4 linked regions of the Caenorhabditis elegans genome follow. The protein of the gene in region 1 interacts with the protein of each later gene in a pairwise test. Each region holds a gene or a part of one and is shown in the gene's direction. Other genes may lie near its edges. The genes, in order: mkk-4, F54A3.6, nhr-13 and W03C9.2.

Region 1 (4,506 bases):
ATCAAGTATTTTATATCAAACCACCCGTTTCCCCACTCCACCTGTCATAGTAAATAAAAACGAACTCAATCAAGCCGCAATACTCAAGTACATAAACAATATGTTTCAATAATTCGCGCCTAGCAACCGAAGTGCATGCTCGAGTAACCAATATAAGGTGTCGAAGAAAACAAACTGCAGCGGGACACAGCGATTAAATCAATCTAGCGTGGTGGTCATATAAGAAGTGCGAGAATATACTGAAGACGTACGCAAGTAGTAGTGTCCAGTTCCACTAACTATCGGTCGTTTGCCTCCCTGTTTCTTCCATTCATGCGTGCCCTCTTCTCCTCTTTCTCTTACTCCCGCGATTCTATTTCTCGACCACTCTCTATGTTTTATGTCATCTCTCTATTGATTCTCGTCTCGGTAGGCTTCCTCGGTTTCTTGTTCCTCCGAGTTCCCTCAAATGTTTTCCTTTCTCCGTTTCACTCATCCCTTGGTTTTCTCGCCGGCTTCCATTTTTATTGACTACTCATTTTTCAAACGTTTTTTGTCTCTTCTTCTCTGTCAGTGATTTTGATTTTTTTGTGTTCCCTTTCTCTCTTTATCTATCTTGCATGATTCATCTCCAACTTTGACAGTCAACTCATAAAACAGAAATGTTTACACTACATGAGCTGCTACTAGCTACGTCAATTACTATTTCATCCTCGTGACGTAGATTATTCCTAAACTTAGCACACAAAAAGAGCAAAGCTTAAAACTTCCTTTTCACATTTCATCATTTTGCAGCTAGTGTCATAATGTTAGCATCAGTCTTGTAGAAAATTATTAATATTTTTTGGTGTCACTTTATTTCAAACACAAAATACTAAAAATGATTATTCAGAATCTTGGAATTATAAACATTGTAAAAATTACTTTACAAAAACTCACTTAAAAGTATATATAATTTCCCGCATTATTAATCGTGAAATAAACAAGGCCATTGAAATCCGAAACAATTCCGAAGACAACGACCTACCGTTTTTTTCTAAAACTGGTCCTGAAGGTTACTCAAGTGTTCAGTTTGACAAAGACGTGGTCATCTTTTACAAAAATCTTAAAACTATTGCTGACCGACCTCACGATTTTTTCTTCAAGTTTTTTCTTCTTCAATTTCAAAAATGTTTCCTTACAGTTTTTCCAAGGTTTCAATTGTGTTTTCAAGGGCTTCCAACCTTTTTCTCATCAAACTTGCTATACGTCATTGTGTATGGTTGTATTATATTTGCTCAGAGTCATTTCAATTATTGACTGATTCCCACGCTAATTCAGCTTTATTCTGGCTTATTTTGTCAAAGTGAAAAAGTAATGTAATTGTTTCGTTTTTTGTACTGTGGTGATTGTGAACTTTCATTTGTTTCCTTTCTCAAACATACATTTCTCATTGTAACACACGTTAAACACAAAAGATACAACATTCATTTTGTTTTTACTTTGAAAATATCACAAAGGAATAGTTGGCAAAAAAAACCTGTCAACAATTTAGGTGGGCTGAAATTTCAATTCAACATTTTCAAATTTCTAGGTCTTAATTCACGCAATACTTCAATATGACAACATTACTTTTTTTAGTACATTGAAAATGCTTGACTCCATTATTCAATTTTCAGATTTCACGCATTTTCCTATTTGCTCTGATCAAATTTTGATTTTAATCTTTCTATAATTTTATTTATTTCCTGTTTTTTATTTTTACATTTTCAGAGTTAATGGTTCAAGAAGATGACGAGAATTTACGCAATTCAATGTCCCTTCGGCCGACTTCGTTGTCAACACGTCCCACATCACTTTCGGTAAACGGAAATGAGAAGACGCTTCCAGAAGAAAGTGTGTTGTGAGTGTTTTTTCCTTTTTTCAATTAGTCATTAGTAATCCTCTCGTTTTCAGACGTTCTCTTTCGACAGGCACATTAAAATACCCTGATGACGAACATTTATACACATTCAGCTCCGCTAATTTACAAGATCTTGGAGCAATTGGAAACGGCAATTTTGGAACAGTTTACAAAATGCGTCACAAAGAAACTGGAAAACTGATAGCTGTGAAGGTTTGACCAATAATTTGTTTTGTGAAAAACAATGTTTTTTTCAGAGGATACGATGCAACAACATTGGACATAGAGAACAAATCCGCTTACTTCGAGAGCACGACACAATTGTGAAATCCGAGAAAGGACCAAATATCGTGAAGTTTTACGGAGCGATTTTCAGCGAGGTGGGTATAAGAACAGATTTCAATTAAAGCAAAAATTTTGTTTGCGTCATGGTGAATAGTAAAACGTATATCTATATTTTTGTTTTCAGTTTTTTTTAATTCAAACTTTACAGGGTGATTGCTGGATTTGCATGGAACTGATGGACATTTCGATGGACCTTCTTTATAAACGAGTATATATGGTGAAAAATAGTCGGCTGAATGAAAATGTCGTCGGACATATCACAGTTTGCGTGAGTTAACATTATATAATAATTTGGAGTATTTATATTTTTACAGACTGTAGATGCATTGGATTATTTGAAGAAAGAATTAAAAATTATTCATCGAGACGTGAAACCCTCCAATATTCTTGTAGACGGAACTGGAGCAGTGAAACTTTGCGATTTTGGTATTTGTGGGCAGTTAGAAGAATCATTTGCGAAAACTCATGACGCCGGTTGTCAGCCGTATCTTGCAGTAAGTGTTTGAGTGTGTTCCATAAAGATCTAATAATTTTTTTAACATTTGTTCAAAAAAGTCTAAACCAAACCTTTAGCTGTTCTGCATTCTTCTTCTACATTGTTACTACAATTAGGAAATTCGGGTTTCGAAAATATTTATTTTTTTGAAATTAAAAAAAATGATAGAAGGTAGAATTGTAAATTGGTGGACAATTAGCAAAATATGATAGACAAGTTTCGAACATATGTTGAGTTTGTTTTTATTCAGCCCGAAAGGATTACAAGTTCAGACAAATATGATGTGAGATCGGATGTGTGGTCATTGGGAATAACTTTGGTAATTTTTTTCTGTTTTCAAAAATCCACAAACAAAATTTTTAGTACGAAATAGCAACAGGAAAATTTCCCTACCAAGAATGGAATTCACTTTTTGATCAGATTGCTACAGTGAGTTATTATCTATATCATTGCGCTATTTGTAGAAAAACATGTTTTAGGTAGTAAGCGGTGATCCTCCAATTCTACATCCAGACAGCGACGATTTCCATTACAGTTTGCCGCTTGTCAAGTTTATCAATACTTGGTGAGTTTGTTTTTGTAACATATAATTGGCAAAGTTTGTATTGAAATTCTTCAGCTTAACTAAAGACAGACGCCATCGGCCCAAATATGATACTCTGAAGAGTTTTGACTTTTATAGAATGTGAGTTTTTTATTTTCTCATTTAACAGATATCACGTATTAAATTTCAGATACGCAGTTGCCGGACCCGAAATTGAAGAGGCTAAGCGAATTCTTGGAGTTGAAGCAATTGACACAAGAAATCATCCTGTCGACCACAGAGGATAGATATTTACTGATTTCCAATTTTATCATGTTTTTGTAGATCTTTGTATTTTTTGCCAGGTTTTCAAAATTTTCAAACTACTTCTTTGATTTCTTTGAAAATTCTTCGATTCGTTTTTCATATTATTGTTTTTCAAAATATTCTTCGCAGCTTACTCAATTTTTGTCATTTTCCTATTCTCCCGACGCACAATAATAATTTGTTCCGTGATAGTGAATCCAACTAATTTTTTTTGGATAATTCCAATCGTCCATCTCACCCATCCCATTCAGAGCTCTACATTGTTAAAATATTTCGACGCTTTGGTATTGTCGTGTTTATTTCTCATCATCTCTCTTTCTCACTCTTTCTCTCTCTCTTCCCTCCGATTGTGCTAGCTTCCCATCTTTTGATCTCAACACACACCATGGTTCTTCTAATCAGTAACAATCATTTTGCAACAAACTCTAATTCTTTTAATAAACTGTTTTACACTAAGAAATGTGTTTAATTTTTATTCGTTAAGCCCTTAAATTGTGTTTTTACCATTCCGATTCGATGATGAGATGTTGATGAAGAATTAAGATCGTATAGTTATTCTTTTTTTTTTAATAGTTTTCTTATTAAAATTGTAATATAAAACATTTATACAATATAAACTCCAATGTTAAAACAATGTTCAATTTCGAAAAAAACGAGTCTTTTGAAAAAAAAACACTCTTTTGAAAATTTGAACCTGGTTTTTGAAACATATTTTTATTATTTCAAATATAAACATAGAATAAAATGCGTGAAATCAAAAAAAAAAGTGAAAAATAATATGAAAAACATTCAATGTGCCCCAAACTCTTAAACTTTCTTTCTTCAATATTATTAAATTTTTAAAATAGCTTTCCTAATACACAACCACACACGTTATTGTGATGTCACACGTAGAAACATTTTATGATTCATTCAACAGTTTTACTTTTGGTCAAGGTTTTACAAATAAACTTC
Region 2 (7,960 bases), on another chromosome or scaffold:
TAGATTTTTAAAACTTTTTTTTGTGATTTCTCTGCTAAAAATTGAAATTCGGTTGAAAATCGTGAAAATTCGGCTGAAAACCGTCGAAATTTGGCCGAAAATCATAAAAAATTCGCCTAAAAATCATAAAAATTTGCCTAAAATCAAGAAAATTCGGGCACCTAAGTGCGATTTCTGCCAAAAAACCAAGATTTTGCGGAAAATAGCCATTTTTATTATAAAATCTGCTGAAAATGCTAAAAATTTGAAAGAAAAACATGAAATTTTTAACAATTTCGGCGTGAAATTGCATTTTCAGCGTTAAAATCCGATTTTTTAAAGCTATTTTCGCTATTTTTTACAGGGGAAAAGCCGATTTTTTAGCCATTTTTCTTCAAAAATCAGCTAAAAAGACCAAAATTTGGCCGAGAATCGTGAATTTTCAGCATTTTTCGGTGAAAAATCGGATTTTCAGCGTTAAAATCCGGTTTTCTAGCTATTTTCGCAATTTTTTTCAGGGAAAATTCGATTTTCCAGCCATTTTTCTTCAAAAATCTGCCGAAAAACGGTTTTTTTCGGTCAAAATCTGCACTTTCAGGCCTCTAAGCACCTCAAAATGGCGTTTCCGTCATTTGTCATGACAATTCCTCCCATTGGATCCATCAACATCTTTAGCATGGCCCGAGGGCCCAAACTTGTGCGAATCACGTCGGCGATCGTCTGAAAATAATTAAAAATTTGCGATTTTCATCGACTTTCAGCCCAAAATCTCACCTTGCAAGCGTTGATATTTCCGATTTGGACCTGATGGCCACTCTCACGCTTTGTACCCTGGCTGAGCACAATGATAGGCTGCTGTCCGGCTCCGCGCATCATTTTTAGCTGGAAATTTGGGGGAATTTTCAAGGAACACCTGGAGGAAAATGCAAAAATGGAAGAAACGGGAGTTTTTTCGCCATTTTTTTGGAAATTTTCTAGCAAAAATTGCAAAAATTCAGCTTTTTCCATCAAAAAATCGCTAGAAAACGCCATAAAATTGCCAAAAAGTCGCTAAAATTTCCGATTTTTGACAGAAATTTAGCTGAAAAAGCCCCAAAAATTGGCTAATTTTCAGATAAAAATATTCAAAAAACCGAGAAATTTGTATAAAAATCCACAAAATTTGGATTTTTGTCTGAAATTCAGTCAGTTTTTAGCCAAAAAAATTTGAAAAAACACAAAAAAACCGTTAAAAATCTGAAATTTAGCTGAAAAACCATCAAAATTGGCAAATTTCAAGCGAAAAAAACCGAGAAATTTATCGAAAAATCACTGAAATTCAGCTAAAAACCCTCAAATTCCGTGGGTTTTCAGTGAATTTCAGCGAAAAATTACCTAAAAATCGGCGGAAAATTGCTAAAAAACACAAAAAAGTCGTTAAAAATCCAAAAAATTTCGATTTTTATCCGAAATTTAGCTGAAAAACCATCAAAATTGGCCAATTTTCAGCGAGGAACCGCTTAAACAAGAATTTAGCGTTAAATTCAAATTTTCTAGGAATTTTTCTCGATTTCAGGGGTAAATACACCGAATTTTAAGGGTTTTTGGGTCATTTAAAGCCGAAAAAACGTCTAAAATCCCATAAAAACACGAAAAATCGAAGAAATTCACAAAAATCCGCCAGAAATTTTTCAATTCTTCTCGAAAACCGAATGGCGCCGTTTCAAAAAGAGGCTTCCAGTGCTTTTGAATGTTTTCGTGGCGAGACCCGCAGTGTTAAATTTTATTTTACACATTTCTGCCGCATTTTTCTGGAGTTTTCCTGCAAAATCATTATCACGACAATTATATTAGTTAGCTTGTAAAAAATCAGATTTATTAAAAGTCTAGAAATTGCTGAAAACAGGTCCCGAAAACCCCGCGGAATACGGTAACACTCGTTTCAGCTGTGCGATTTAATTTCGAGATATTTACGCGCTGTCGAAAGGGTATTTTCTGTTGACTTTCGCGGCGAAAACTCGAAAAAATTGGCAATTTCTATTGATTTTTGTCGATTTTTGCATAATTTATCGAAATTCGTGTTAAAAATCACATTAAGATCTCAAAAAACCATGCAAAACCACGGTGGAAATGGTGAGATTATCGATTTTTTCCGATTAAAACCCCGAAATTTCACATTTTTCAGGATATAATGGCTATCCGCCGCCAGAAAGGGTTAGTTTTCACGGGAAATTCAATGAAAATAATCATTTTTTTGTTCCAGAGATTCTACGACACGGAGAAAAGGGACGAGCGTTGGCGAGAGGAACGGCGAAGCGAATCTTGGCGGGAAAATCCCCAATTTCCACGACGAGAAGAAGCCTGGCGACCGATTCCACCACAATTTCAGCTTGGAAGAGGTATTTTAAGCTTGAAAATTCTGGAAAAACCAGGAAAAAAAACGGAAAAAACCAGAAAAAATTCCAGATCGAGCTCCAATGCCGGTCGACGACGCGTTTTTGGTGAGATATGGCGCAAAACGGTGAGTTTTTGGCCGAAACCCCGAGCTAAAAATGATTTTTCAGCCTTAACAACGGAAATTTAGTGGATCGAGACGGTTATACACTCAAAATCCGCGATCCAGACTGCCGAGCGGTAGGGTTTTCGCGCGGAAAATCACTGAAAAACCCCGATTTTTTCAGCCATCGCCTCCAAAATATAACCCGGGACGCGAGTTACGCAGATATCCAGACGCTTTAGTCCGAAGATCGGTGAATTTTTGAATAAAACAGAAAAAATGAGCCAAAAATGACCGGATTTGTGCAGTTTTTGCACGAAAAACCGCCATTTTCTCGATATTTTCTGGTTTTTTTGGGCGATTTTTGCCCTAATTCTTGAATATTTTATTGAAAAAATATTTTTTCAGCGCTCGCCACCACGATATCACTCAGGACCGCGTGAAGATCGATTTTCAGACAGAAATCCGCCTCGTGAAGTGAGTTTCAGCGAATTTTTGGAGAAAAATCGCTGAAAAATCGATTTTTTCGCAAGAAAATGAACTTTTTTAGCCAAAATTTCGCATTTTTAGCTGATTTCTAAGGAAAAATGGTTCGAAAATCGATTTTCCCGGCAAAAAATGAGCTCCGGGAGAGAAAACAGCAGGAAAAATGGATTTTAACGCTGAAAAACCGGATTTTCACCGAAAAAGTCTGAAATTTCGCGTTTTTCAGTTAAATTTTCAGCATTTTCAGCGAATTTCTGACTGAAAAAAATCGATTTTTTCGTGAAAAACTTTAATTTTTCTTGTAAAAATAGACAGAAACCCAAATTTTAACGCTGAAAATGCGATTTTTCACCGGAAAAGCCTGAAATTTCGCGTTTTTCAGTCAGAATTTAGCATTTTAAGCGAATTTCTGAAGAAAAATGGCTGAAAAAATCGATTTTTCTCGTAAAAAAAGCCAGAAAACCCGCTTTTTCACCGAAAAAGTCTGAAATTTCGCATTTTTAGCAGGAAAACCGGATTTTCAACGCTAAAAATGCAAATATTCACTGAAAAAATGCAATTTTACCCCAAAAAATCCCATTTTTTTTTCCAGCATTCACCACCACCACCTCAGAGATTTCCGGCGCGAGAGGTGAGTTTTAGGCGAAAAATTGCCCGAAAAACCCTAATTTTCCCCTAAAAATTCATATTTTCAGCGTTCTCCTGCATATATCCCGGGAAGATCGATTCAAAGTGCCGAAAAACCCGGAAATTGGTCGAAATTGAAGAAAAATGACCTGGAAGAGGTGAAAAATGGCTAAAATTGGCCAAAAATTCGGAAAAAAAGACTAAAAATCCAAAAAAAAGCCTAAAATCGTCCGAAATTCGGAAAAGTTACTGAAAATCGCCCAAAACCCCGAAAATTCGCTAATTTTCAGAAAGCCCGGAAACATATGGAAATGATGAAGGAATTAGAGCAAAAAGAGCACGAAATTAAGGAAAAACGGCCGAAAATTGACGTAAAACCCGAAGAAATTGAGGGAGAAGATGAATATGAAGACGTTGAGGAGGTAAAATCGCTCGAAATTCGTGGAAAATCGCTGAAAATCCCTCAAAAAGCACGAAAAACGGCTTAAAACCATCGAATTTGTGGAAAAAGTGCTCAAAAACGATCAAAAATCGAGGAAAATCACTAAAATCCGCAAAATTTCGATTTTTTTCCTGAATTTTAGCGAAAAATCCTCAAAATTCTCGAATTTTCAGCCCATTTTTCCTAAAATCCAATAGAAAATTGTCAATTTTTTCGAGAATTTCCAGCAAAATCGACTGGAAATTGTCTAAAAATTGCCAAAATTCCGATTTTTAACTGAAATTTCTCCAAAATATTAGAATTGGCCAATTTTCAGCGAAAAAATGGCGAAAATCCGAGAAATTTGAATTTTTGTCTGAAATTCAGTCAGTTTTTAGCCAAAAAATGTTTAAAAAACAAGAAATTTATCGAAAAATCACTGAAATTCAGCTAAAAACCCTCAAATTTCGTGGGTTTTCAGCGAATTTTAGCGAAAAAAAATCGAAAAATCTCCAAAAATTTGAATTTTTATCTGAAATTTAGCTGAAAATCCTTCAGAATTGGCCAATTTTCAGCGAAAAAATGGCAAAAATCCTCAAATTTTGTGATTTTTCAGTGAATTTCAGCGAAAAACCCCCCTAAAAACCACTAAAAATACTGAAAACTGAAATTTAGCGGCGGAAAATGCTGTAAATTTCTCAAATTTTTAGGTAATTTTATTAACGCAAATTTATCGAAAATTGCTGAAACTCCACTGAAAACTGAAAAAATCCCCAAAAATCGTGAATTTTCAGCCAATTTTTTACACGATAATTGAAAAAATCGGCGGAAAATTGCTAAAAAACACAAAAAAGTCGTCGAAAAATACAAAAAATTCCGATTTTTCTGAAATTTAGCTGAAAAACCGCTCAAAATCCGTAATTTTTTAGCGAAAAATCACCTAAAATCCTCTAAAAATCCCAAATTTTCAGCCAATTCCCCCACCAAATACTCGTAAAACGTTGCTCGGCGAGCCACCAGCGGGAGCAGCTTCATCCTCATCACCATCAGCTCAATCATCAACTGGCTCATCAACTGGCACATCTTCTTATCAAAATAATATTAAAAAAGCATTAATTCCCGGTAAACCACCAGGACAACCGATTATCAGAAGAAAACCAGCTTCATGGTATGAAATGTACAAAAAACAAGTGGATTCATTGAAAGAACAGGTTTATGGGTGAGTTTTTGGATGGAAATCGATGGAAAATGACCGAAAATTGGAAAAATCGACGAAAATCGACTGGAAATGGCTTAAAAATCGACGAAAATGCTGAAAAATGAGCTGAAAAATGTCAAAATTTCGAAAAATTGGCCGGAAAATGACCGAAAAATTGGAAAAATCGACGAAAATTGACTGAAAATTCAATTTTTGGCTAAAATTTCCGATTTTTCGACGATTTTCACTGGAAACTGTCAATTTTTTGAATAAAAATTCGGAAAAATCCCTTTTTTTTTCAGCTTTTTTCCATCAGAAAATCGGCAATTGTCACCCAAAATGCGGATTTTTTTCTGAAAATGAACGAAAAATCGACAAAATTGCCAATTTTTCGCCCCAATTTCCCGAAAATTTTTATGAAAAACTTTCAATTTCTCGCCAGAGTGACTGAAAATTCGGAAAATCCCCAAAATTTCAGCTTTTTACACCAAAAATCGCTAAAAAATCCCGAATTTTCCACGAAATTCTCCCGTTTTTTCAGGGAAAAATCGAAAAATTCCCTACTTTTTCGTTAAATAGCCCATTTTTTCAATTTTTTTCACCAGAAATGCGGATTTTTTCACTAAAAATTGCTGAAAATAGCCGCATTTTTTCCAATAAAAATCGATTTTTCCAGCTTTTCTCATCGTCGAAATCGCCGGAAATGGCTCAAAAATCGACGAAAACCTTCAAAAATCGACGAAAAATGACCGAAAAATAGCTGAAAATTGGCATAAAAATGCCAAAATTTTACTTTTCAACAGGAAATTCCAAATTTTTCCTGGAAAAAAACACTATAAAACGCGCAAATTTCCGATAATTTCGCGGAAAAATGTGCTGAAAATTGAATTTTTCCATCAAAAAATGGTAGAAAAATCCGAAAAACTTGATTTTTTCAGCTTTTCGCATAAAAAATCTCCAAAAAACCCCGAATTTCCTCGTGAAACTTGCTGAAAATCCAAAAAAAAATCGATTTTTCCAGCTGTTTCCGTTGGAAATCACGGAAAAATCCTCGAAATTTCCAAATTTTCCGTCTCAAAAATACGAAAAACTCTATTTTTTCCAAGTTTTTCCACCAAAAATCGCTGAAAATCCCGAATTTTCCATTATTTTCACCGGAAATCCTCAATTTTTTTGAGAAAAAATTCAAAAAAAACTATATTTTTCCACTTTTTCAACTTAAAATCTCATATTTTTCACTAAAAATCCTATTTTTTTCCCTCTAAAACCTCTCAATTAACTGAAAATGGTAAAAAATCCGGCAAAAACGGTAGAAATTTGACTAAAAATGGCCGAAAATTCGGAAAAAATGGTAGAAAGTTGACTAAAAAAGCCAAAAAATCGGAAGAAAATGTCAAAAATTCACTGAAAATTGCCGGAAAAACTGAAAAAAGCGATGAAAAATGATTGAAAATGTCAAAAAATTCGGCAAAAACGGTAGAAAATGGTCAAAAAACCGAAAAAATCACTGGAAAATTTGTAAAACTTTCAAAATTTCACTGAAAATGGCCGAAAATAGCCTGAAAATTCAATTTGCTACATGAAATATCAGATATCAGATTTTTAACTGTAAAACTGGCAATTTTTTGAAATTTTTGAATTTTTTCACTAAAAAATGCGGAAAAATTGCATATTTTCGCTGAAAAACTTCAATTTTTAATTACTCCATTAAAAATTACCCAAAAAATTCCGATTTTCCCTCTATTTTCATCGGAAACTATCAATTTTCTGGCAAAAAAATCACACTAAATTCGTTGAAAAATCGCCTAAAAACCCCGAATTTTCCTCGATTTTCACCAAAAAAGCGGAATTTTTCACTAAAAACTAAATTTTTTTCAGCTTTTCCCCGTCAAAAAATACAAATTTCGCCTATTTTCTCCGAAAATTCACAATTTTTTTCCAGAAAACCCAATCCACCACCACCATCAGCCGGTTATTTCTTCCAAGCACCACCTCCAGCACCAGCTTCTTCTTCATCTACAGTACCCCCTGCTGTGAGCCCATTTGGTGTCCCACTTGGAGCACAACCATCCACCACGTCATCCACCACCTACAGTAGTAACTACAGTAACCCGTCGTATCCGCCGCCGCCAAAAGTTGATCTACCACCACCGGGAATTGTTCAACTGGACAGAGTCGTCTATCCTCCTGTATCACCACCGAGCCCACCATTGGCGGCTGCTGCTCCGCGAGCATCAGAGCATTTTGTTCGAAATGGACCAGTTTTGGGTCGAATGGTACGGAAAAGCTGGAAATTTAGAGCTTTTAAGCTCAAAAAGTTCTCTGTTTGGCTTGAAAATTGCAAAAATTTCAGTAATTTCAGCTAAAAATCCGTGAAATTCAAGCTTTTTGGAAGCTTTCAACTCAAAAATTGCCTGAAAATTCTGAAATTTTGAGCTTTTTGGCTTTAAATTGCTCTGAAAATTGAAAATTTTGGCTTCGAAACTTAAAAATTCGTCCAATTTTGAGCCAAAAAGTGTTTTGATAATTTTGATAATGAAAATCAGCGAACATTATTTTGAAATATCGAAAATTGGCAAAAAATTCGAGAAATCCTACAAAATGCTCAAAATTTTGAAATTTCCATCTCAAATTCGAATTCCTCGCGAAATTTCCGCCGCTTGAAACCCGAAAACCAGAGCTCTCTAGCTCAATTTTGAAATTTCCCGGGTTACTGTAGCGCCAAAAGTACGCAAACACCGACCTACAGTACCCCCGAAACACTGAATTTTAC
Region 3 (6,399 bases), on another chromosome or scaffold:
CCGCAGTAGTGCTACCAAGAACCACGTCCAAAAAAAATCGGAACCGGAACAGGGCCATATCGTTTTTTTTCCTGAAATATTGCGGAGTTATCTACGCCTATGATTTGTATTATACAGTGAAACTTTTCTAAATAAAAAAAACTTGGCGTTGACCAGCTGTTCAAAAAGGTACCTTTCAAAATTTTTCAGAATATAAATGTTCATAGCAAATGCGAACAACGACGAAAATACCCCAATTGCAGTGACTATTAAAGCTGAGACATTCATGATAGGCTGATTATCCATTTCTGGAAAATTAATATTTTAAAGCAAAAAAAAACTGTTTGATTGAAACCCATTTTATTTAAATGAGCAAAATTAAAAAAAAATTAAAAAATATATGAACACCAAGGAAGTATCACAAAGGTCTAAAATTCGAAGGCGATTCAATTATCACTGTCTACTGGAAAAACACTGAAAAACAACTAACTTGGCAACCTAATGCAATTTGAAAATGCGGAACTATATCTAGATTGAAAACACACATATAGTAAAAAGAAAATTATAAACTTGATCCCAGTGGAATGCAACTTTTAGTTTTGGATCACAATTTTAAAGAAAAACCGAAATTAATTAAAAACCCAGTGATTTATGTGTTTTAATAGAAAAAAAAACAACTCGAGTGGAATTCTGAGAGCAATTAAATGTATAGCTTATGTGTAAAAAATAAATCATTTATTAAAAACTTCAAACAATAAATTATTACGTACAATTGTTTTGTAATTATTTTTTTCATTTTCTGAAATACTAAAAATAAATTCGAAAAATTTGGACATTTTTCTGTGCGTTTTTCACAATTTTCGAGACCCGTAAAATTGGTTCAAATGTAGGTTTTTGCAGAATTTCTGTGACTATGCATTTTGTTGAAAGTGTGTATCTTTCTGAAAATTTTTGACTGGAAAAAAATCAAACATTTCCAGAAAAGTTGTCTGTGGTAGTTAATGTTAGAAATGACTTTTTTACATTATAAAACAAAATGTGAAAAAAAAACCCCGCTCACGTAAATATGCACGCCTTAAGTTGACCACATCACCCTGAGCGGACTTTTCAAATTAATGCTCCGTTTCTTTTTTAACTTCTGTTGTTTTACTACCATCTTTTAACACCTTTTTCAAAACTTAATTTTATTTGTTCCTGTTGATTTTGGCTTTCCCGAAAAGAATTCATGTTTGAATTTCGCGGGCATGTTGAAAATCTCACGCCTTATGAGGAGCCCGTGTCAGATAAATTTTTCAACTCTTCAATTCTCCACAATTAATCGAATTCTCATCATTTTTCATTATCGGAGTAAATGATTTGCCGCTGCCGCTGTCGATCATTTACCACGAGAGACTACATTGTTGTCGATGTGTCTGCGTCTCTTATGTACCTAGTTGTCTCTCACCGCCCTCGTTCTCGTCGATACCCACCAATTTGTTTCAATGAGGTTCAATATGTTTGCATTTATTTGCGTTTTTTTGGCTATAGACTTCTTTTTTTTCAATTTGCAATAAAAAATATAAAAATGTTCCATGTTTCAGAAAAATGCCCACAAACCCGAATTCTTGTGAGGTGTGCTCATCGTCCTCGAATAGTTCCTGCAATCATTTTGGAGCCAGAACTTGCAAGGTGAGTATTTTAAATTGAATTTTATAATTATTTACGGAAGGTTCTCAAACTAAAAATTTTGTTTTGCAACTTTTCCACACCTATTTCAATAAATATCACTTTTTGAAAAAATTGAACCTAAAATTTTTCAGGCTTGTGCTGCCTTCTTCCGTCGCACCGTATCTATGAAGCTCGACTATCAGTGTATTGACCAACCGGATGCCTGTCGTGTTCATTGTGATTCTCGCGTGATTTGCCGATTTTGCCGGCTCAAAAAGTGCCATGATATTGGTATGAAGCCATTGTGTGAGTTTGTACGAAAACATTTTGAAAAATGAATCTTAAAATCGACAAGAAAATATACTAAAAATATATGGGATATCAAGACTAAAGTTTAAAAAATTTTCAATGAAAAATTTTAATTGAATTTTTAAATTTTTTTTGTTGTGAAAAATTTAAAAAAAAATTTGAAGCTTTAAAAAATTTATCCACACTTAATATTTTCAAAAATGTAATAATTTTTCAGTGGTGAAATCAAAAAACGAGCGGAAAAACTACATCCGGATTTCCAAAGGATTAATTCGCAAAAGATCAGTACTCGGCGACAATGTCAAAGAAAATTCCGAAGAAATTCAAAATGATGATGATCCTCAAGAATCGGATGCTGAAATGGAAAATGAGGTTTTCAAAATCCAATTTCTTAAAAAAAAAAACTAAATGAATTTTTTCAGTCCACACCAGGACCATCATCAGAACCATCAGAAAATGTATCGGCTGAAAATCAAGAAACAGTGACAAAATTCTTGAAACTGGAAGCATCCATGTGTGATCGAAGACGGCTACTGTACGCTGAGACGCCTATCAGTATTGTGCTGGAGAGTGGCAAGGAATGGGTGAGAATTTTGGGTAATGGGCTCAACTAAACATCAAATTTAGCCATACGAAAATGCTCCGCTGAAAATGTTCGATTACAAGTTGAGCCAAGGAATGTCGAAGCACGATTTTGTGATGATCATGGACTACGCGCGTGGTATGCCCGGATTCGACGAGATGAACTATGCAGATAGTGTAAGTTGGCAAACTTTTTTTCTTCTGAAAAATGCAACTTCAATTTTCCAGGTCTTCTGCTACCGTCTCGTGTGCGCTGTAGATTTTGTCATCAATTCAGCATACTATACTTATAAGTTAGTACAGATTTGAAAAATCAACCTGAAAATTGAATTCTTGCAGACGAGGAATCGAGCACAACGAGCTCGTCCTGAGCGATGGTACCTTTATCCCAATGGTGCCCACACCATTGACAGGCTACGAGGAGAATGCAAATCTGCTGTTTCAAAGTCAGGACGATCTTATGAAGTTTCGAACTCTGATGCCTCTCATCCTTCATCAGTGGGAAACCTGCGTGCCGTTTGCTCAACTTGCTCCGTCCCATGAGGAATTTTGTCTGCTGAAAGCGATTTGTGTTTGGCATGTTTGTAAGTGGGGTAGTTTCATTTTGAAATTTTGCTGTAAATTATAGAAAATGGACCGTAATGACTGAATACAAATTTAAAAAATTTTTTTTGAAAATGTTGAAAATTTTTCATTTGTTTTTTTTTTCAATTTTGAAAACTTATGAATTGGGCCAGAAGACGCAAAAATGTCGAAAATGACGTCATTCATTTGCGCGGGAATTCAAATTTGATTAGGTCGTTTTTGTCAGTTTTGCAAATTGCAAATTTAAAAAAATCATAAAAATATAGAAAAGCATTTTTTAAATTTTACCTACGGTCTTGCATGTGCGGCAAATGTAAAACAAAACTGTAAATGTCATTGTGATAATACAACTTTTTGAAATGAAAACTAATATACAGTGCGCGCGCTTGCTATAGGACCCCCCTAAATTTTGGCAGTATTGAAAAACTCCAAATTTTTCGTGGAAAACTATTATGATATTTGGAATCAGGGTGTCGAAAAACCTATAATCCCATGTTTTCATGAATTTATCATAAAAATTGAAAGCACCCGACCAATATTTCAAAAATAAGACCGCGCGTTTGCTATAGGACCCCCTGAGGTTTTTGAAAATTTTCACCGAAATTCTCGATTTTTTGAGCTTCTATGGAAAAACCAAATTCAAAACTGTGTTTAATTACACTTTCAATGAGAAATTGTTCCGATTTATAACTTTTCAGAAAAATTCAAATTTCGATTTTCACTAATTTTTCGCATTTTCAGACGTTTAAGCTCGAGAAGAAGCTCACGTACCACTTTTGTGCTTCAACTTTTATCACCTGATTTGAGTAGTAGTTTCGCAGAGTTTCGTAAATTTTGAGCTGATTAGGACAACTTAAACTCATTTTACAGCACGATTTACGCAAAGCTTTTGCCCTGTTTTCAATGCGCAAGCTTATTATGGGCTCATATCTGAGCTGCCAACTGATAAATCTTTTCTACAGTTATCAGAGTATTTACCTTACACGTTTTGCTAACTGTTTCAGGCATGCAGTCACTGAGAAAAAATTCGCTCAACCATCTGAAGGCGACGAATCGCGAGTTCTCAATTTGCAGTACATTCTCAAGCCTTTTTGTGCTGAGTGAGTTTTCGATCACAGTAGATGGTTGAGCGAATTTTTTCTCAGTGACTGCATGCCTGAAACAGTTAGCAAAACGTGTAAGGTAAATACTCTGATAACTGTAGAAAAGATTTATCAGTTGGCAGCTCAGATATGAGCCCATAATAAGCTTGCGCATTGAAAACAGGGCAAAAGCTTTGCGTAAATCGTGCTGTAAAATGAGTTTAAGTTGTCCTAATCAGCTCAAAATTTACGAAACTCTGCGAAACTACTATTCAAATCAGGTGATAAAAGTTGAAGCACAAAAGTGGTACGTGAGCTTCTTCTCGAGCTTAAACGTCTGAAAATGCGAAAAATTAGTGAAAATCGAAATTTGAATTTTTCTGAAAAGTTATAAATCGGAACAATTTCTCATTGAAAGTGTAATTAAACACAGTTTTGAATTTGGTTTTTCCATAGAAGCTCAAAAAATCGAGAATTTCGGTGAAAATTTTCAAAAACCTCAGGGGGTCCTATAGCAAACGCGCGGTCTTATTTTTGAAATATTGGTCGGGTGCTTTCAATTTTTATGATAAATTCATAAAAACATGGGATTATAGGTTTTCCGACACCCTGATTCCAAATATCATAATAGTTTTCCACGAAAAATTTGGAGTTTTTCAATACTGCCAAAATTTAGGGGGGTCATATAGCAAGCGCGCGCACTGTAGAAATGTAGGAAAAAGTTCACTTAAGCTGAAAGTTTTACTTTTTTCGCTGAAAAATGCAATAAAGATCCCAAACAGCCCCCGAAAATCGCCGTTGGTCGTACAAATTTCTACGACAATTTTACGGCAAACGGCAGCTTTCAGGCTCCTTTTGAATTCTATATGGAACAGATCAAGAAAGATCAATACTATTTTTTAGAGTGAACAGACATTATTCTACGTTTCTATATTTAAAAGAAATTGATTATTATCCTAAATTTAACTGTTTTGTAAAAGCTCAGTAAGAAGTTTTTATGTTTTGTTAAAAGCGTAATCTAAACAGTTTCAACACTATTTAAATTCCAGCCTACTATCGCCTCAGCGAGGATGGTCGCCGTATCGCGATTGCTCAACGCAACCGTCTGATCCGGGCTCTTCATCATGTGTGCCACCTTGACAGTGATGATGTTGGAGAACGATTTGGCAACGTTATGATGGCTCTGAACTATATTATGGTATGGTTTCAATTTAAATTGCATTGCTTTGCTAGAAAAACTAACACTTTGCTTAATTTCCCAAAACCAATGTAGATATATCTGTAGAGATTCATTACAGGTGAACATTCGCCACGTGGTCAGCTCATTTGTAATGATCTCCTTTTTCGGCATTATCAACGTAGACAAGTCGATGATATCGTTGACAAGCTTTTGGTACTATTTTAGTTTATCGAAAAATTGCGTTAAAACAAGCAAACAAACAGTTAATTCGCAGGAACATGGTGCATCGTTACCAGTCCCCCGTGGTTGCGATTTCACCGTGATTAAGCACATATTTCATTCCTAAAGTTACAAATTTCTTTCAGGAACAAATCCGACACGTCAACTGCTCCTTCGTTATGATCTCAATTTTCGGAATCCTCAAAGTGGATAGTCTTATGCTTGATGTGACAAGTTTTTGGTGAAATATTCAAAATACAAAATCCTACGACTAGCTTTATTATTCGAATAAACCAATTTATTAAATGTTATTTCACAATTTTTTCGATTTCTCAAAATAACATGTGTACCAAACTGCGGCTTCAAAATTAGCTCGGGATTGGCATTTCTTCGGGAAACTTTGTCATAGAGGTGACGGTGAAGTTGCGGAAAATCAACGAGAGTGAGACTTTCTCTTCGAGTAACTCGAATTTCTGTGCAATGCAATTTCGGGGTCCCGCTGAGAATGGGACGAATGCGAATGGTTCTCGTTCGGCGACTCTCTCTGGGAGAAATGCTCCGGGAAGAACTCGTAGGGTCTCTCGAAATATCTGGCGGCCTCGCTTTGCCAAATTTGCAAGATTCAGGGAAAAAAAGAGAAGGAATGAGTTCAATTCTCCCAAAATTCCAAAATTTTTGTGCCACCCTTTTTTCGCAAGGGTAGTACCTGTTGAAATTGGAATTCAAGACAAAAACCCCTGTAGCGCGGCTGGGATGGAATATCTAGATCCAGAAATGTATCCCTAATATTAAAAAAAATCAGCAATTTTTTACCAT
Region 4 (5,200 bases), on another chromosome or scaffold:
AAGTGGAAGATTTTTTTTCGAAAATTTGTTGCGAACGTTTTTTGAATTTTATCACGTTTTTTTTGTATTTCAATTTGATGAGATATTCGGGTCTATTTCTGTATTTTTCTGTGCTCTTAATTTGTTTTTAATGCGATGAATAAAATTTAATTATTTGTATTTTTGGATATTTCTGCTCGGCACACTCCTCCTCGTGCCGCTCTCTTGTCAATGCCTTGTCGTTCAATTTCGGTGACACCGTTGTGGCGCAGGCGGGTAGCGGCTGCGCGGCCGTGAAACACGCCGCGGGTTCGACCCCCCCCCCCCCGCCGCTTTGCCGTTGATGATCAATTGAGCATATCACTGACTGTTGGTGAGGTGATTTCATTAGCTGAGGCTTTTTACACTTTTAACACTTTTTCGTTGAAATCAAGACAACTTTATTGATTTCTCAAGATCTCTGTGAGATAGTAGTTGGTTCCGACTCTCGGGAAGAACGCGATTCGGAACGATGCATGCGATTCGAGTGCGGCGAGATTGCAGAATGAGGGTACACTGTGTGGCTTTTTTTGAAGGCGAGGCGATCTTGGTTGAGGCGGAGCAAACGGGAGTCTGATATATAGAGATGTGGATGTATATGGATTACTGTATGTACCTTGAATATTCAGCGGAATGCTTGATCGGGAAGATTTTAGGGTTGCCGGGTCAATCTTCAGGGATGGGACATCGAATAGCGAATCTTCTTCGTCGGTGCACTGAAATTTAAAATATTTCGGATTTTGATCAAGAAATTTGAATTCAGCTCAGGTTACTGTAGCTTTTCGTGGTGGGACCCACATTTTTTTTTTCAAACTCAATTCAAACTCAATATACTTATACTTAAAGTTAATTTTACACGATTTTACACGTACATAGTAGTCCTGTGGGCTCTTCTTGCCACGCCGAGTTTGTCGCACACGAGATCTCAGTTTTTCCACGTATTTCGGCGGCGGAGACGGCAGAATTTGCAGTCCGTCGAGCTTCTCGTCATCACTGAACTTGTAGTTATCACTGAGAGGTGACTCGTGTTCTGGAAAATTTGAATTTCGCGGGATGGTTCTCAATGGGGCGCACTTGCCGTCGTCCTCAGTGATCGATTCTTGTGTGGAATCCAACGTGGGTTCGCTACCGACCGCGGTTTTCAAATCCTCGTCTTTTCCGTGATTGAAAACGAAAAATTTCGAAAGTTTCTTCGCCTTTTTGTCCTTTCCATCGACTTTTTTCACAGTTTTTCCTGGTTTTATCTGAGAAATTTGAATTTGCCACCCATTAGCACTAGAGCGCACTTACCTTCTTCTCGTCTTTTTTCGGTTTCACAGCGACTGGCAAAGTTTTTGTGTAAGCTTCTGAGGGGTCAGCAGATCCCTTAAACTTCCAAGCCGTTTTCAGGCACGAGACGAGTGCGAAACTTGTAACGAGAAATGGGAAAGTTACGATTAGAAAAAACTGATCTTGCTGCATTTTTGTTGTAGAAGAATTGAATCGAAGGTTCGAGAGATGTTTGGAATTAGAAATAAATTTTTTTAACACTTTGTTTTTTTTTTGTTGATAATATTAAAATCTTTTTCCTTGTTTTTTTCTGTGGTTTTCACGATTTTCTTCTTTCTTTTTTTTAATGAATTTTGAATTTTCAAATGATTTATTATTTACGCTAAACAACACACGCTACGATGCTCCGCTGTTATTTCGGAGCATCGTTGGGCGCAAATTTTTATTTTTTATCCATTTTCCTTTCTTTTTCACTAAATTTTTCAAGTTTTTTGCACTTTTCAGATGACATGGAACACGTGCTCACTCTGTGTTACCTCTGAGCTCATGAATACGCTGGATGAAGCGAAAATTCCGTTGCAAAAAGTAAAAATCGACAAGAAAACTGAAAACCCAAAATTTTCCTATTTTCAGGCTGTCAACTATCACGAGCAGTCGCAAAATCGACAATTTCGCATCACACTCATCACAAAATGTCTGGAAAATCAAGAAAATCCGGAAAAATCTGAAGTTTCAGTGAATTTTTTCGTCGATTTGAAGGAGCTCGTCCCGAGTTGCGCTTATTTTGAGAAATTCGATGGCGTAAGTGTTTTTTAAAGTGATTTTTCAGAATTAAAGTGAATTTTTTACAGCTCAGCTACGTGGAATTCTCGACAAACTGCAAATCCACGTGGATTTCGGCTCCGGAAAGTGTTGCGGCACCGCACGAGGATTGCAGTCACCGCTTCCAATCGCCGATCATTTCCAGAAATTTCCACGCGTTTCTGGACTCGGTGTGCCCATCGCTTTACGGGATTCGCCCAACACCTCTCACTTGTAATATTTTTAGGATTTTTTGGAGCGAAAATTGGAAAAATGTTGGAAAATCACTGGAATTTCAGCAGGAAATATTGGATTTTGATCGAATTTTGCAATATATCGGAGAAAATTTCAATTTTTTGGCATTTACAATTAAAAAAAGGCTCAGATTGCACTTTTGAGTTGATTTTTTTTTGAGAAACTATGTATGTGAGAAATGGATTTTGACGCTATTTTTCAACAGATTTTAGCTAAAAAAAAAAGACAAATTTGTTTGATTTTCAACTAAAAATAGCTCATAATTGATTCTTTTTATAGTTAATAGAGATTTTTCTGCACATTTCATTGAAAAATAGCAAGAAAATAATTTTTTTTTAAAACTAGGTTTAAAAATCAGTTTCTTACGCAAAAATATTAAAATTATGGAAAAATGGCCTAAAATTTATTTTTTTCAATTAAAATACACGCTACTTCAGCTAAAAAGGCTCAAAATTGGATGAATTTTTGAATTGCCACCAAAATGAGATCTGCAACCAATCAGCGATTAGCTGTGGGCGGAGCTCATCGCTGATTGGTTGCAGCACTCATTTTTGAGGGAATTCAAAATTCGCGTGGTTTTTTTTGTGGTTTTATCAAATTTTGGGCTATTTTCAGGTATTTTGTAGCAAAAAAATAAAATTTTCACTTAAAAAATCGCAAATTTTCAGTGTCAAGCATCGTCCCCGTCCTGGATATGCTTTCACATTTCCACAGTGAACCACTTCTCACCAACTGTGAGCGTTTCCTAATGTCTACAAATATCGGTCATTTGGACGGAAATCATTTGATTCGACTTCTCGACAAAGGCCTCTGCGTCAGCCTGGACCATCGGATTTTGGGCCGAATTTTGTGCATTTGTCTGATGAGCCCACAGGCGAAAATGTCCGATTCGTCACAGGAACTCGCCGGCACTATTGGATCCGTTTTTGCGCAGGCTTTTGTCGCGTTAGTATATCAGAAATTGATGGTGAAATGTGAAGAAAATTCGAATTTATTGATTGAAAAATCGAAAAAATCAATTTTTGATGGGATTTTCATGGAAAATTTGAAAAAAAAACTAATTTTCCATAATTTTTATGAATATTCGTACGCTTAATGGAAAAATCGAACAGATTTCGAATTTTTCCCTCAAAAAATCCGAAATTTTAGTTTTTTTATTGTTAAAAATGTATGTTTTTGAGGGATTTTTCATGAAAAATAGAAGAAATTTCGAATTTTTCGCTTAAAAAAATCGAAAAATTCACTCAAAACCTGAAAAATCAGAACATTTTCAAACAAAATTTTCAAATTAACGAATTTTCAGAAATATTTCAAAAAGCTTCCGCCACATCAAGCCACTCGAACAGGAGAGCTCACTTTGGCCAATGGCAATGCGAAATTTGTTGATTCCGGGAGCTCTCGGAGCAAATAGCTCATCTTCAAAGGGATCTTCGGAAGAGAAAATCGGGAATAAGAAGAGAAAACGTCAGGAATGCGATCATAATGAAGAATCGTAAGGGAGAAAATGAGAAAAATCACTGAAAATTCGTCAAAAACGAGTTAAAATCGGATTTTTTGAGGAAATTTCGGAATTTTTTCAATCAAAAATTCAGTTTTCGCCTATTTTTAAGAAAATCGTGAAAAAAGTTTCGTATTTTCGGTTATGTGAATTTTTAAAAAAAACATTTACAAGATTTCGGTGCAAATTTAATTTTTTTTTGGAATTTTTATAAAATTCTCTGAGAAAAAAAAATTATGTATACTTTTAAATATTGAAATTCCCGTAGAAAAATTTTAAAATTTTTTTTAAATTAAAAAAAATAAAATTCGAGACAATTTTCCATAAAATTTCAGCGAAAATTGTTCTTTTAATGGATTTTCTATTTAATTTCCACCAAAAATATGCAATTTGTTTAATTTTTCCAGATTCGAGTGTATTCTTTGCTTCGACCAGCGTTGCGGCAAGTGCAAGGGAGAAGCCGCGTTCTGCTACAAGGTTTTCAGGAAAATCCCCACAATTTCCAAAAAAATCTCGGGTTTTCAGGCTCTGGACAATTTCCTGTACGAGATTCGTCTTCAACTGTATCCACACACGTATCGTCCACATTTGGATCGCGATTTGCTCCGCGAGGAACGCCTCAGCGACTACATCCTCCGCAACCAGTTTCAGCCACTTCCAGACGCCAATTGAGAGCCAGCTTGTTGAAAATTGAAGAAAAAACTGTAAATATTGACCCTACTCACTCACAAAACTTGTAAATTTTACCTAAAACATATCCTAGAAAGCCTAAAATTCGGACAATATATGCTCATTCTTGTGTGGATGTTAAATTTATATAAAAAGAACATGCAATAATTTCTGGGAAGGGAACTGAATTTCGAAAAAAAAATTAGAATTTCGGTGTAAAAATTTACAAATGAATGGCAAATATATCAGGGGGGGGGGGGGGGAACGAGAAAAAATGAAGAAAAAAAGTGAGTTTGAGTGAAAATGAAAAACTAGAAGGCATCGAATGGTGTGTATAACGGAAGAATTTCCCAGAAAAAAAGTAGATGGTGATTGGGGACCGGCAAAGGGTGACTACCGTAATCTGTGGGATTTTCTTTTCAAATTTTTTGGGATTTTTAGAAAGTGGAGACGAGGGAAGAGGAAATGTGTGTTGTGTGGATTGAATTGAATTGAATCGAATGTGTCAAAAATACATTTTGTGCAGATAGAGATAGAGGGCTCTGCGCGGAGCAGCACACGGTTAACAATTGCATCCCGAATTCTGCTGGTTCTGTTGATTTGGGTTGAGACGGATTTGGTCGGGAAACTCTGGGAAATCGTTGGTTTCCTGAAAAATTTAAAATTTTTAGTTTGCTTTTTGTTGGAAAA

What was found.
Region 2: the proteins of mkk-4 (region 1) and F54A3.6 interact in a two-hybrid assay, tested with the Caenorhabditis elegans proteins (one large-scale study listed by BioGRID).
Region 3: the proteins of mkk-4 (region 1) and nhr-13 interact in a two-hybrid assay, tested with the Caenorhabditis elegans proteins (one large-scale study listed by BioGRID).
Region 4: the proteins of mkk-4 (region 1) and W03C9.2 interact in a two-hybrid assay, tested with the Caenorhabditis elegans proteins (one large-scale study listed by BioGRID).

What each region holds. Positions count from the first base shown.
Region 1 is NC_003284.9:10,026,125-10,030,630, forward strand, and holds mkk-4 (MAP kinase kinase mkk-4), read left to right. Parts: upstream 1-1,731; 5' UTR 1,732-1,736; coding exon 1,737-1,861; intron 1,862-1,914; coding exon 1,915-2,074; intron 2,075-2,118; coding exon 2,119-2,241; intron 2,242-2,354; coding exon 2,355-2,474; intron 2,475-2,520; coding exon 2,521-2,700; intron 2,701-2,952; coding exon 2,953-3,021; intron 3,022-3,065; coding exon 3,066-3,131; intron 3,132-3,181; coding exon 3,182-3,267; intron 3,268-3,321; coding exon 3,322-3,387; intron 3,388-3,436; coding exon 3,437-3,533; 3' UTR 3,534-4,006; downstream 4,007-4,506. UniProt on the Caenorhabditis elegans protein: Activity is required in presynaptic neurons, in a dose-dependent manner, for normal presynaptic development and morphology.
Region 2 is NC_003280.10:2,226,441-2,234,400, reverse strand, and holds the start of F54A3.6 (Trithorax group protein osa), read left to right. Parts: upstream 1-1,930; 5' UTR 1,931-2,069; coding exon 2,070-2,091; intron 2,092-2,143; coding exon 2,144-2,172; intron 2,173-2,221; coding exon 2,222-2,357; intron 2,358-2,424; coding exon 2,425-2,479; intron 2,480-2,522; coding exon 2,523-2,592; intron 2,593-2,639; coding exon 2,640-2,708; intron 2,709-2,863; coding exon 2,864-2,932; intron 2,933-3,533; coding exon 3,534-3,572; intron 3,573-3,636; coding exon 3,637-3,726; coding exon of another isoform or gene 3,727-3,741; exon of another isoform or gene 3,742-3,813; intron 3,814-3,858; coding exon 3,859-3,990; intron 3,991-4,960; coding exon 4,961-5,208; intron 5,209-5,224; exon of another isoform or gene 5,225-5,276; intron 5,277-6,278; exon of another isoform or gene 6,279-6,332; intron 6,333-7,129; coding exon 7,130-7,463; intron 7,464-7,870; exon of another isoform or gene 7,871-7,930; intron 7,931-7,960. Other genes in the region: cct-3 (T-complex protein 1 subunit gamma), read right to left, coding at 590-699, 754-852.
Region 3 is NC_003283.11:2,190,938-2,197,336, forward strand, and holds nhr-13 (Nuclear hormone receptor family member nhr-13), read left to right. Parts: upstream 1-1,547; 5' UTR 1,548-1,563; coding exon 1,564-1,647; intron 1,648-1,778; coding exon 1,779-1,932; intron 1,933-2,152; coding exon 2,153-2,307; intron 2,308-2,357; coding exon 2,358-2,519; intron 2,520-2,562; coding exon 2,563-2,694; intron 2,695-2,745; coding exon 2,746-2,810; intron 2,811-2,856; coding exon 2,857-3,101; intron 3,102-5,233; coding exon 5,234-5,382; intron 5,383-5,482; coding exon 5,483-5,577; intron 5,578-5,729; coding exon 5,730-5,766; coding exon of another isoform or gene 5,767-5,828; 3' UTR 5,829-5,890; downstream 5,891-6,399. Other genes in the region: srbc-42 (Serpentine Receptor, class BC (Class B-like)), read right to left, coding at 1-71, 173-285. UniProt on the Caenorhabditis elegans protein: Orphan nuclear receptor. Involved in regulating fatty acid desaturase genes, acting in concert with nuclear hormone receptor nhr-49.
Region 4 is NC_003280.10:11,960,583-11,965,782, forward strand, and holds W03C9.2 (uncharacterized protein), read left to right. Parts: upstream 1-1,785; 5' UTR 1,786-1,791; coding exon 1,792-1,872; intron 1,873-1,920; coding exon 1,921-2,088; intron 2,089-2,138; coding exon 2,139-2,322; intron 2,323-3,011; coding exon 3,012-3,288; intron 3,289-3,646; coding exon 3,647-3,835; intron 3,836-4,248; coding exon 4,249-4,318; intron 4,319-4,366; coding exon 4,367-4,513; 3' UTR 4,514-4,676; downstream 4,677-5,200. Other genes in the region: W03C9.1 (uncharacterized protein), read right to left, coding at 431-591, 635-734, 891-1,048, 1,097-1,262, 1,309-1,479; rab-7 (Ras-related protein Rab-7a), read right to left, coding at 5,073-5,159.